2 linked regions of the Arabidopsis thaliana genome follow. Each later gene encodes a partner of the first gene's protein in a complex. Each region holds a gene or a part of one and is shown in the gene's direction. Other genes may lie near its edges.

Evidence for each region. Proteins that work in one complex are often made in the same cells at the same time.
Region 2: AT1G31500 (region 1) and AT3G58560 share a complex: the UniProt entries of both Arabidopsis thaliana proteins name them as parts of the CCR4-NOT complex.

Annotation. Positions count from the first base shown.
Region 1 is NC_003070.9:11,273,102-11,278,620, reverse strand, and holds AT1G31500 (DNAse I-like superfamily protein), read left to right. Parts: upstream 1-1,992; 5' UTR 1,993-2,086; coding exon 2,087-2,142; exon of another isoform or gene 2,143-2,146; intron 2,147-2,439; coding exon 2,440-2,704; intron 2,705-2,891; coding exon 2,892-2,941; intron 2,942-3,269; coding exon 3,270-3,339; intron 3,340-3,555; coding exon 3,556-3,680; intron 3,681-3,767; coding exon 3,768-3,880; intron 3,881-4,024; coding exon 4,025-4,160; intron 4,161-4,237; coding exon 4,238-4,385; coding exon of another isoform or gene 4,386-4,391; exon of another isoform or gene 4,392-4,494; coding exon 4,495-4,800; 3' UTR 4,801-5,019; downstream 5,020-5,519. Other genes in the region: AT1G31510 (F-box associated ubiquitination effector family protein), read right to left, coding at 159-340, 413-472, 517-1,204. UniProt on the Arabidopsis thaliana protein: Acts as a catalytic component of the CCR4-NOT core complex, which in the nucleus seems to be a general transcription factor, and in the cytoplasm the major mRNA deadenylase involved in mRNA turnover.
Region 2 is NC_003074.8:21,650,012-21,655,799, reverse strand, and holds AT3G58560 (DNAse I-like superfamily protein), read left to right. Parts: upstream 1-1,599; 5' UTR 1,600-1,903; coding exon 1,904-2,061; intron 2,062-2,337; coding exon 2,338-3,076; intron 3,077-3,179; coding exon 3,180-3,266; intron 3,267-3,367; coding exon 3,368-3,451; intron 3,452-3,522; coding exon 3,523-3,609; intron 3,610-3,703; coding exon 3,704-3,790; intron 3,791-3,933; coding exon 3,934-3,987; intron 3,988-4,074; coding exon 4,075-4,166; intron 4,167-4,280; coding exon 4,281-4,395; intron 4,396-4,510; coding exon 4,511-4,658; intron 4,659-4,762; coding exon 4,763-4,920; 3' UTR 4,921-5,235; downstream 5,236-5,788. Other genes in the region: AT3G58550 (Bifunctional inhibitor/lipid-transfer protein/seed storage 2S albumin superfamily protein), read left to right, coding at 5,567-5,788. UniProt on the Arabidopsis thaliana protein: Acts as a catalytic component of the CCR4-NOT core complex, which in the nucleus seems to be a general transcription factor, and in the cytoplasm the major mRNA deadenylase involved in mRNA turnover.

The DNA of each region.
Region 1 (5,519 bases):
GAGTTCAGATCCGCCGAAGCAATAATATGAACATAGAAATAATCAAAATAAAAAACCATATTTGTATGCATAAATATTGTTTCCCACTTTTTTCGAACCAGATTCAAACTCTTATGAAGTTATCCCACTATGTTTATAGAGTTCGAAAGTAAAGACCATTATAAACATGAAAGAAGATAACCATTTAACTCGTAGCAATGGATCGGAGCACGCTTATTCTTCTTCCTCTTAATTACCTCGAAAAGCCTGGAACCGGAAGTAAGCTTGGGACATATATAGTAGCAACCAGGACCACCAATTGAAGACTCCATAGAAGAGTAACATTCAACTTTCGGGCATTCTTATGTCTCTCCCACAACGTAGATGCTAATTGACCTAGTTACAAAGTGACGAATATATAGCAGAATCTTACCATTGTTCTCAATGAAGTGACTTGGATATATTGGAAACTTGGGAAGTTGAGCTATAGAAACTGTCATTAACCTACTCCAATGCTTCTTCATCAGTATATCTTACCTGCTAAGTGCGGTTCACGTAACAAAGAAAGATGATCTCCACGGAAAATCCCTAAAGAAAGAGAATCTTTCCACTGGATCCCGATGGATGAGTGATGAAGAGACTCGAACAAGGTCTCAAATCTCTCTTTTGAGAAATCGAAACTTTGTATCGAAACGGTACCGTAGATATTATAACCTATCCAATAAGGAGTTCCTCCTATACACACACTTGACAATGGTAGTCGAAAGAACCCATGGAAGGTTTTATCAACAACAACAACCTTCCAACAATCAGATTTGAAATCGTAGATTTCAACACTTAAATTATTAGGACACCGAAACCTAACCATTTTGTAATCATTACAACCACTTGGTGACTCGTTACTAATGTATCCAAGACCATATGCATCGATGGAATGGTCAAACTCAAAGCTATAGCCACATTTGATCCATCTTGCTTCTTTCAACAACGGATTGGAAACTAAAATTTTGGTTCCCATGACCATTAGCAATAGACCATCACAATGAAACATGTTGTGCTCCAATAAATCCGAAGATGAAAGCGGTTTAAAAACCTGAAAATTTAAACTAGGTTTGTTGTTGAAATCCATACCGATACAAGAAATTGTTGAGCACAATGGAGAAACTGTGGCCGGAACGTAATTGAAGACTGTGAATATCGGTTCAAGACCATGCATGTGAGACATGTGCTTGTTGACGAATATCGGTTCTGTGATTAGTGTTTTCCATTGCTTGCATGTCCTCTACCAAATTAGTTTGTAGTATGTCCTTTACCAAATTAGTTTGTAGTATTATATTTGGGTTTGTTATTTTCAATTTAGGGTATATATTTTTATTATTAAAAACTTTTTTGATTCAATTTAATATTAGATTAATGTTTGCTCTCATTTTTATTTGGGGGATTGATACAAATAGTAATAAAAAAAACTTTATTATTTAATTAATTTATAGAGGATTAAAAATTTTATATGCTATTTTGGAAATTTCAAAAAAAAGGTGTCATTTTTTGGAATAATAAAGTTTTTTAGTGTCATTTACGTCAATCCCCTTGTTATATTAATATTGGTGTGAAGCTTTTTGGGAAATATATCTATAATTTCTCATCTTATAAAGTTTTATGCTCAAGTGAGTGTTAGTATGGAAATTTTTAATTCGCAATAGTGTATATTGGTCCGTAATGGTGAATTAGTTAAATATCGATTAATTAGATTTTAGTCTGGTACACAACCATTTATAGACTAAATATCTGACAGTAAATGATTTAGAAACTCATACTAACTTATATAGTTATATATATAGGTGCTTTGGGAATTTTTGAAAATTTTGGGTTTTGGATTTTGACGTTGATTTCGATTGGATTTTTATTTGTTGGAAAGTAAATGAACCTACTAATGACCTATTTTTGGTTCTAAAGTTCCAATAAATAAAATGAAGGCTCACTAACTACTTTAATATAAAGACAGGGAGCAAATGATAATTATCGAATTCTTCACTATTTTATTTGAAAACCCACAAGAGTTTCTTCAATCTAAAGCCAAATTGGGTTAAGTCAATTGTTGTCACTATAGATGTTTAGTTCTACAACTCTGCATCATCTTCCTCGTCCGAATCTTCTTCTTCCCAGGTGGGTTTCTTCGTTTCTGTATCAATCAATATACAGTTTCATTTTCTGTAATCTCAAGTTTCGTATTTAGTAATGCAACTAAATTGATCGTCTCTGTTCATTGTCATTGGGCAATTTCGTTGAGGAATACAATTTGTTTAGAAATTTCTCATCTTTATATTGGAACCAATCCTCTAGAATCTCGAATTTATCTGGGCTGTAATTGAAATTTTATGGGGAATTAAATCAGCTTCTTAATTTTGACCTAAATATTGATGTTCAAGGATTGTTTTTTTTCCTGACCCTTTGATTCAACAGCTCTCGTGTCTGCAGGAAAGTTATTTCGAGAAGAATGAGTACGAATCCTGCAATTGAACCAAAAGTTCGCAAATTTGAATCTGTTGAAGGAGTTGATATTGGTTCAAGAAATAAATCCGATGGTTTTTTTGCTATTCCTCTTTACTTATCAAAGCTTGTGGCTTTATATAACTGTATAAGTTTAAGTAGAATTGGTACTAGTAATGAGAATTTTGTGTTTTCAGGTATCAGATTCCGTCTTGTTTCATATAACATATTAGCTCAGGTAAGAAATAATCAAGCTTTTTAATCTCTCATATGCTTTGTGATATTTTGTAGCTTAATATTTGGACGAATTTTGTAGTTTTAAACGATCTTACGAATTTCTGAGCTTGATTTATAGATACAGACAGTTCTTTTAGCTCTTTCCTTTGTTGAGTTTCTTATCTATTTGAGCTTTATATTTCTTGTAGGTTTATGTGAAGAGTGCACTTCTCCCACACTCTCCACCTGCCTGTCTCAAGTAATTATTTTTCTCTACATTTCTCAGTTTCGAGATCAAATTTACTTATACTAGTCAAGAGTTCTTTCTGTGAGTTGTGTAATCAATGGCCTGGAGTATAGTCAAGATTTGCTTCAGAAAACAACAATGGATTCTATGAATGTTTAGGAACTTAGCTATAAGCAGGCAATATTGTGTTTGGTCTTACCCACGTTAATTATCCATTACCCAATATGTACTTTGGATTTAGCGATATATTAACTTTGTTAAAATATTAGGGAATGGTGCTTCTTAAAGGGTTATGGTTTTGTAGTAAATGTGACTTGGTCTTCCTTTTCTTGTGTTGCAGATGGAAAGCTCGTTCACATGCAATTCTCAGCGTTCTCAAAAATCTCCAGGCTGATTTCTTTTGTCTGCAGGTACTTTATTCTTGTGAAAACTTCTTCTTTTGTGTTTAGGTAGTATTGAGATACCCTTTTCGTATGAAACACAAAATTCATTCTTCTCTTTTGTTCAATCCATTAGACAAGCTCAGGCCTGTAAAAATGTTAGTGTTGTTTGTTCATAGGGCCTTTGAATTGTGTTTAACAAAAGGGTGTCTCCACTTGTTAGTTATATAGTTGCAATGCTCGCAGGAAGTAGATGAGTACGATAGCTTTTACAGAAATAACATGGACTCTCTGGGATATTCTGGGATTTATATTCAGAGAACCGGCCAGAGGAAGCGTGATGGTTGTGCAATCTTCTACAAGCCAAGCTGGTATGATAAAAACATTAAGCCTGACAAGACGTTAACTTAATGCAAAAACATCAATCTGATTGAAACAACACTCTTCTTTTGATTTAGTGCAGAGTTAGTCACAAAGGAACGGATCGAATATAATGATCTTGTGGACTCAATAAAAGCAGATAGTGTTTCCTGCAGCGAACAGAAGATTGAGACATCCAACGAAGGAAAAGGTGATGAGAAAGCGAAAGATAAATTTGTCCTTTTGGAGGAAAAGAAAGCAAATACTTTGTGCTGTTTCTTTATATCTCAACATCATTACTAACTTTTATCTATGTTCTCTTCACATGTTTCCACAAATCTGCCCCAAACAAAAGATTCTCGAAAAGACAGTCGTGACCTTAATGATCCACTAGTGAGACTAAAACGTGATTGCGTTGGAATAATGGCTGCTTTTAGGATCAACAAGCCGTTTCAGCATATCGTTATCGTGGCAAACACACATCTTTACTGGTAAAAATACTTGTCACCGATTGAAGATTATCTTTTACCACCCTTTAAACTTTCATCTCATGTTTACTTATCTCTAGGGACCCTGAATTGGCTGATGTCAAGCTTGCTCAAGCCAAGTATCTACTGTCACGACTAGCTCAGTTCAAAACACTAATATCAGATGAATTTGAGTGCACACCTTCATTGCTACTAGCTGGCGACTTCAATTCAATTCCTGGGGATATGGTTTGATTCAGTTTCTTACATTGAGTTTCCCTAATTGTTCAATCTATTTGCAAAATCAAAAGATTGGGTTTACGGTGGTAAAATCCTGATACTTGTCGTCGTTTTCCAGGTTTATAGTTACCTAGTATCGGGTAATGCTAAACCCACAGAGACCATAGAAGAAGAAGAAGCTCCAGTTCCTCTGTCTAGTGTCTATGAAGTCACAAGAGGAGAGCCTAAGTTCACAAATTGCACTCCTGGCTTCACAAACACACTTGACTACATCTTCATCTCTCCTTCAGACTTCATTAAACCTGTGAGTATCCTTCAACTACCTGAGCCGGATTCTCCAGATGTTGTCGGTTTCTTACCGAATCATCATCACCCGAGTGATCATTTACCTATAGGAGCTGAGTTTGAGATTCGTCGGGAATAGGAAGTTTCGTTCTTTAGAAAGTTTTGTCGCATAACTCCATTGTTTCAGCATTTGAATATGGTTCTTGTAGAAATCATGAAGCAGTGAATCATACACACACAACACAAAGTATTAAAGGACTTGGATCATTTTTGTCTCAATAAACTCGAAATTTTCGTTGTGTGCATTGAATTACTGAGAATATTTGAATTTTCTTGAGAAGAAATTGTTTAATGTGTCTTGTTTATTGCACTCATAAAATAACATAAGAATTGGTTCTATTATTCTGTAGTCAACTAGACAAAAACAATAGAAGATTTAGTGAAATGACATGTTAATATCATATGATGATCTCGTTTCAATTTGTTGAATAAAGTTGCAACAAAATTAGGTCAAGCATTGATCTGTTTTATCTATCAACCACTAAAGTTTGTACTATCGCACCAACTTATAATAATAAATCATAATTTTGAGTACGAACGAATATTCTTTTACAGTCTCACCTTTCACCGATAATTTGAACCATTGTTATTGAATAAAGTCGTACTCTTCAAACTTTTATCCAAAATGACAGTGATGTAATGTTATGTTCCAAAAACATAAGATTTTTTCAAAACGGATAGTGATCATTCCTTTGAATATATAATCACAAACAACCGAACAAAAATATTATATTTTCTATGCTTATTATATGTTCTTATAAATAAATATCATTTAGCATAAGCTTCCCTTGAGAACCT
Region 2 (5,788 bases), on another chromosome or scaffold:
AATATATTTTGTATATATATATAATGCATTAATTCATATAATATTTACTTTATTTTTTCAATTTCAAAACTAAACTAAGAGAATAAATATTTTTTTAAGATATGAACTATTCATAATAATAATAATAATAGTTAGTTTCTTAAGAAGTTAAATTTTTAATTGCTAAATATTTTTAATCAATAGTTAGTTTTTTCTTATATTATTCGTAAAAAACATTTACTTTGAATTTAAAAATTACCGTGCAAAATTTAGACTAAAAAGTTATATACTCAATTGTTTTTCATATTACTTTCTTATGAAACTTATATAGTCATGTGTATTTGGTTCTGTAATGATTTATTTTCTAATGAATAAAGAAGTTTATATATTTTAATTGATAATACAAAAAAAAGATTCTTTCACTCATATGTTTCTAATAAGATTTTTCTGGTTTTAATTTCAGTTTTTTTTTTGTTTTAAAAATTTTAATCATTTTTTTCATTTTTAGTTTAGTTTTGAAATTAAAAAAAGCTAAATATTTTAAGAATCAATGTATTAAATATATATGCAAAATATTTTTATAGTAGATGTAAAAATTGTTTTTTGATTATAGAATAACTAGTAAAACTAGATTTTTAATATTAAAAATAAAGTAAAAATTTATTTTTGAATATTTTTGTTGGTTAACACCGGTTGACGTTAGAGTTAATTGGTTATTTAACATGAAATTTTATATTTATAATGTTAACTATATAATATTATATACTTGGTTATGCAATCTATATACATCATTTAATTAAGTGTTATTTAGTTTAGTTGACATATATAGTTTGTACTGTATTATATTTTCCGTAAGTTTCAATCTTTTTTATTATAAATAGGTGAATATATGTGTATATAGAAAAAAGAGTATTAAAGACTTTTTGTTTCCCTTTGGAAAATAAAATAAAATAAAAATACGAGTCCATATTTGGTCTTGAACGAGACTTGCGTTCATTCCTAGGGGGATGAACCTCTTTGTTCACCTCCTTTTGCATTAACTAATAAAAATATGTCATGTCAAATCCTATTTAAATTACATAATAAATTGAAGCTATAATTATAATCCAAACCGATATATAATTTCGTTTAATTACAAAATCTAAACCCTAATTCTTCTTTGTAAATCCAAACCGCCATTTAAACTCATTTAGTCGTAAAAAAACTAAACCCTAATCGTATTTTCTAAACCCAAACCGACATTTAACCTTGTTTAATTGTTAAATCTAAACCTGTTAATAAATCTAAACCAATATTTAACCCGTTTAATCATAAAATCTAAACCTTAATCGTACTTTCTAAACCAAAACCGATATTTAATCTCGTTTAATCATAAAATCTAAACCCTAATCGTATTTTCTAAACCCAAATCAATATTTAACCTTGTTTAATTGTAAAATCTAAACCATGATTTTTTCAAATAAACTCAAATCGATATATAATTTTGTTTTTGAGGCAAATTAGATTTTATAATTAAATTAAACTTTTATTATTATTATTAGGTTTTAAATTTTAATGGGCTAAAACAGTGAATATAGAACCCAAGTATTTTTCTTTGGTCTTTGTCCATCTTTGGAAATTAATTTAGTCGTAGCGAACAAATCTATCCCACTCATTGGATTTCAATTTCATAAATTTTAGGTTGTAAAATTCGGGTTTGGAGAAAATTGGGGGTAAATCTAGGGTTCTGGGAAAATTAGGGTTCTGGGAAAATTAGGGTTCATCCATGCTGTCGAGTTTTAGGGTCAAGTAAATGACGGATCCATTAGGATCCGTTTTATATCTTATGCTCTCTCGTCTCAATATATATATTTAAAAATCTCAGCCTTTGGGCTTCGTTAGTGTTGGTTTGCTTTCAGAATTTAACTTAGTTACGGTAAAAGCAATGCTTAGCGTTATACGAGTGCATCTACCGTCGGAGATTCCTATTGTTGGCTGCGAACTTACACCTTACGTACTTCTCCGGCGGCCTGATAAGACCCCCTCCACCGATGATGTGCCTGAGTCAGCCCCGCTTGAAGGTCACTTCTTAAAGTACAGATGGTAAGTCATGCCTGTGGCTTCCTTTTACTCTTAAATCTGCTCCCTTTTACTAGCTTTTGCTCGAGTTTGTTATGGACGACTTTTTTTTACCGAAAGTTTGAGACTTTTCTGTGAATTCCCGGGTATGATTTGTTTAAGTGTTTCTTAGTCAGTTCAAGTCTTTGTTCGTTTGCAAATTTGAGTGTGAAAAATGATTTCTTTAATTGTAAAGTAGGGTTTATAAGTCTCCAGTCTTGTCTTTTGGTTCTGTATTAAAAGATGCATCATCTGTTGCAGGTTTCGAGTACAGAGTGATAAGAAAGTTGCGATTTGTAGTGTGCATCCATCCGAGACGGCAACATTGCAGTGTCTGGGATGTCTAAAGTCTAAAGTTCCTGTTGCCAAAAGCTACCATTGCTCTACTAAGTGCTTTTCGGATGCGTGGCAACATCACCGTGTGTTGCATGAGCGTGCTGCCAGTGCTGCTACAGAAGGAAATGATGAAGAAGAGTTGCCCCGTTTGAATAGCTCAGGGTCTGGATCTGGTGTTCTCAGCACCAGTGTTAGTTTAACGAATGGGTCATCATCAGTTTATCCTTCAGCCATAACTCAAAAGACCGGCGCCGGAGGAGAAACACTTGTTGAGGTTGGACGCTCTAAGACATACACACCAATGGCTGATGATATTTGCCATGTTTTGAAGTTTGAATGTGTAGTAGTCAATGCAGAGACAAAACAGAATGTGGGCCTTTCTTGTACCATATTGACTTCCCGTGTTATCCCAGCTCCATCACCTTCTCCGCGTAGGCTGATCTCTATTAGTGGAACTGATGTTACTGGGCACCTGGATTCTAATGGGCGGCCTTTGTCTATGGGAACATTCACTGTGCTGTCCTACAATATATTGTCTGATACATATGCTAGCAGCGACATATACAGTTACTGCCCCACATGGGCTCTCGCTTGGACATACCGTAGACAGAATTTGTTACGGGAAATTGTCAAGTACCGTGCAGATATAGTTTGTCTACAAGAGGTATGTTAAATATTTATGGCACAAGTTGTACTGACTTGGAAACGTTTCAATTGCTAGTTAATGGATAAATACCTCTCCAATATTTTCGTTTTTCATCTTGCAGGTACAGAATGATCATTTTGAGGAGTTTTTTCTTCCTGAGCTGGATAAACACGGATACCAAGGTCTTTTTAAGAGGAAAACAAATGAGGTTTGCTTCAACGCATCCCCTTGATCTTCCATTACCTTTTCGTGGTCACTTATCTGCAAGATGTACCAACCAGAAAATATTGATTCACTGGATAATTTTAGGTTTTCATCGGTAATACAAACACAATTGATGGGTGCGCTACTTTCTTCAGAAGAGACAGGTTCTCACATGTAAAAAAATATGAGGTATGTCTTAGTTTTCTCCTGTTACCTATCTAATTAGGCCCATTTGCTAAATCATTGGGCTGCTCATCCAGGTTGAGTTCAACAAGGCTGCACAGTCTTTGACTGAGGCTATTATCCCTGTTTCCCAGAAGAAAAATGCTTTGAATCGGTTGGTCAAGGTACTCTGAGATGCTCTATAGTATGATTTCTGTTTTCCGCACATTCTTGGTGATATTTTTTCATGTAAAACTGATTTAGAGTCTTTCTTTTTAGGATAATGTTGCTTTAATAGTTGTACTGGAAGCAAAATTCGGTAGCCAGGCTGCTGACAATCCTGGGAAGCGCCAGCTACTTTGTGTGGTAAGTTGTCCATCTTTTCAATATTGTTCTTTATTGTCAGAGATGATGCTAGAGTTGAAGTTATGTGTTTCCACTTCCTCTTCTCCTTTAAAGGTCTCGAGGTGATCATGTTTTCTCTCTTTTCATGTATTTGATGGGTGCAGGCTAACACGCATGTAAACGTTCCTCATGAATTGAAAGATGTAAAGCTGTGGCAGGTTGGTCTTTATTTCTCATTGTAAAAGAACTCTCAGATTTCGGATTCTTACATCACTATTGATCCATAATGATTCTTGCCCAAATAGGTTCACACATTATTGAAGGGACTGGAGAAAATAGCTGCCAGTGCAGATATTCCAATGCTTGTGTGTGGAGATTTCAACACAGTACCTGCGAGGTCTGGCTGGTTTTCCTATTTGTTATGCCCAAGTAGCAATTGTCAAACTCTATATTAAATTATGATTGTGGTTTCTACCTGAATTAACTTGGAGTTCCTTCTTAATATTTTCAGTGCTCCTCATACACTTCTTGCTGTGGGAAAGGTCGATCCATTGCACCCAGATTTGATGGTTGATCCTCTTGGAATTTTACGTCCTCACAGCAAGCTTACTCATCAGCTGCCACTGGTAATTATCTTTCCCAAAAATGGAAAACAGATGCACAGAATCGTGAAAGGCAGACTTCAATTTTAATTAGAATGGCAACATATGCGTAGACATCATACCTTTGTGACCATTGCAGGTTAGTGCCTACTCACAATTTGCAAAAATGGGAGGCAACGTTATTACTGAGCAGCAACGTAGAAGACTGGATCCTGCATCAAGTGAACCGTTGTTTACCAACTGTACCAGGGACTTTATAGGCACACTTGATTACATATTTTACACAGGTTAACTTAAGTGCTTACTTTCAGGGGTTTTACGCGCCAGTGTTTGCTTTCATCTCAGATTTCTTTTTCATCTGGTAAGCAATTTGCTTTTTGTTTTGTTTCAGCGGACACGCTAACAGTGGAATCGTTGTTGGAACTGTTGGATGAAGAGTCCTTGAGGAAGGACACAGCTCTTCCATCTCCAGAATGGTCTTCTGATCACATTGCACTTTTGGCTGAATTTCGCTGCATGCCCAGGGCCAGACGAAACAATATTTTATAGAGATACTGCAGCTGTAATAACCCGATACCAAAGACTGGTTCCAATGGATATGGTTAAGCTACATGAAGTAGATAGCATGGCCATGTCCCTGGGGTTTCTCCCGCTGGGTTTTTCGCTTGCGTTCTACTCTGTATCACAGTTTTATTTACTGCTTGGTTCGCTTGGCTTTTCTTTCTATAGTTATTTCCTCTTTGCCAGAAAGTTTTGTCTTCACTGGCTTGTGATTGTAACAATGTAAACAATTAGATTCTTCAAGAAAATAGTGACTTCACCTTTTCCATATTAAAATCTGTGTCTTCTATGGTTGCAATCCTCCTTACACTCTTAACCCTACAGCTTAACCATCAATTTTCTAGTCTCTTCACTTGTAGATATCTTGCAGATACTGTGAAAACGAACTGTGAACAACTTGATATATTTTATATGTACCCCTCCAATAACTGAAGATGATCCAAATTCCAAAACTCAAATTTCAATTCAGAAATTAGACATGTTAACCAGTACTCATTATATAATCCTTTTAAATCAAGTTTCTTGCAGACTTAGAACTCTCGAGTATCCCTATAACTAGAGAGGGAAACATATGTGAACAAGAAACAAGTCTTATAAAAAGCCACATTAAGTTCTTACTCTGCTGCATTAACTGATGGCTAGATTCATGGCTTACAATCAAAATCCACAAATGTTGGCTCTATGCATAACAGTAGCAGTAATGTTCCTTGGTGTGAGATCAGAATTGAGTCAGGATATAAAGGGATGTCAGGATGCGATGTCTGATCTCTACTCTTGTCTTCCTTTTGTCACTAACAAAGCTAAAGCACCAGACTCAACATGTTGCAGCACACTCAAGGTAAAAATAGACAAAGGG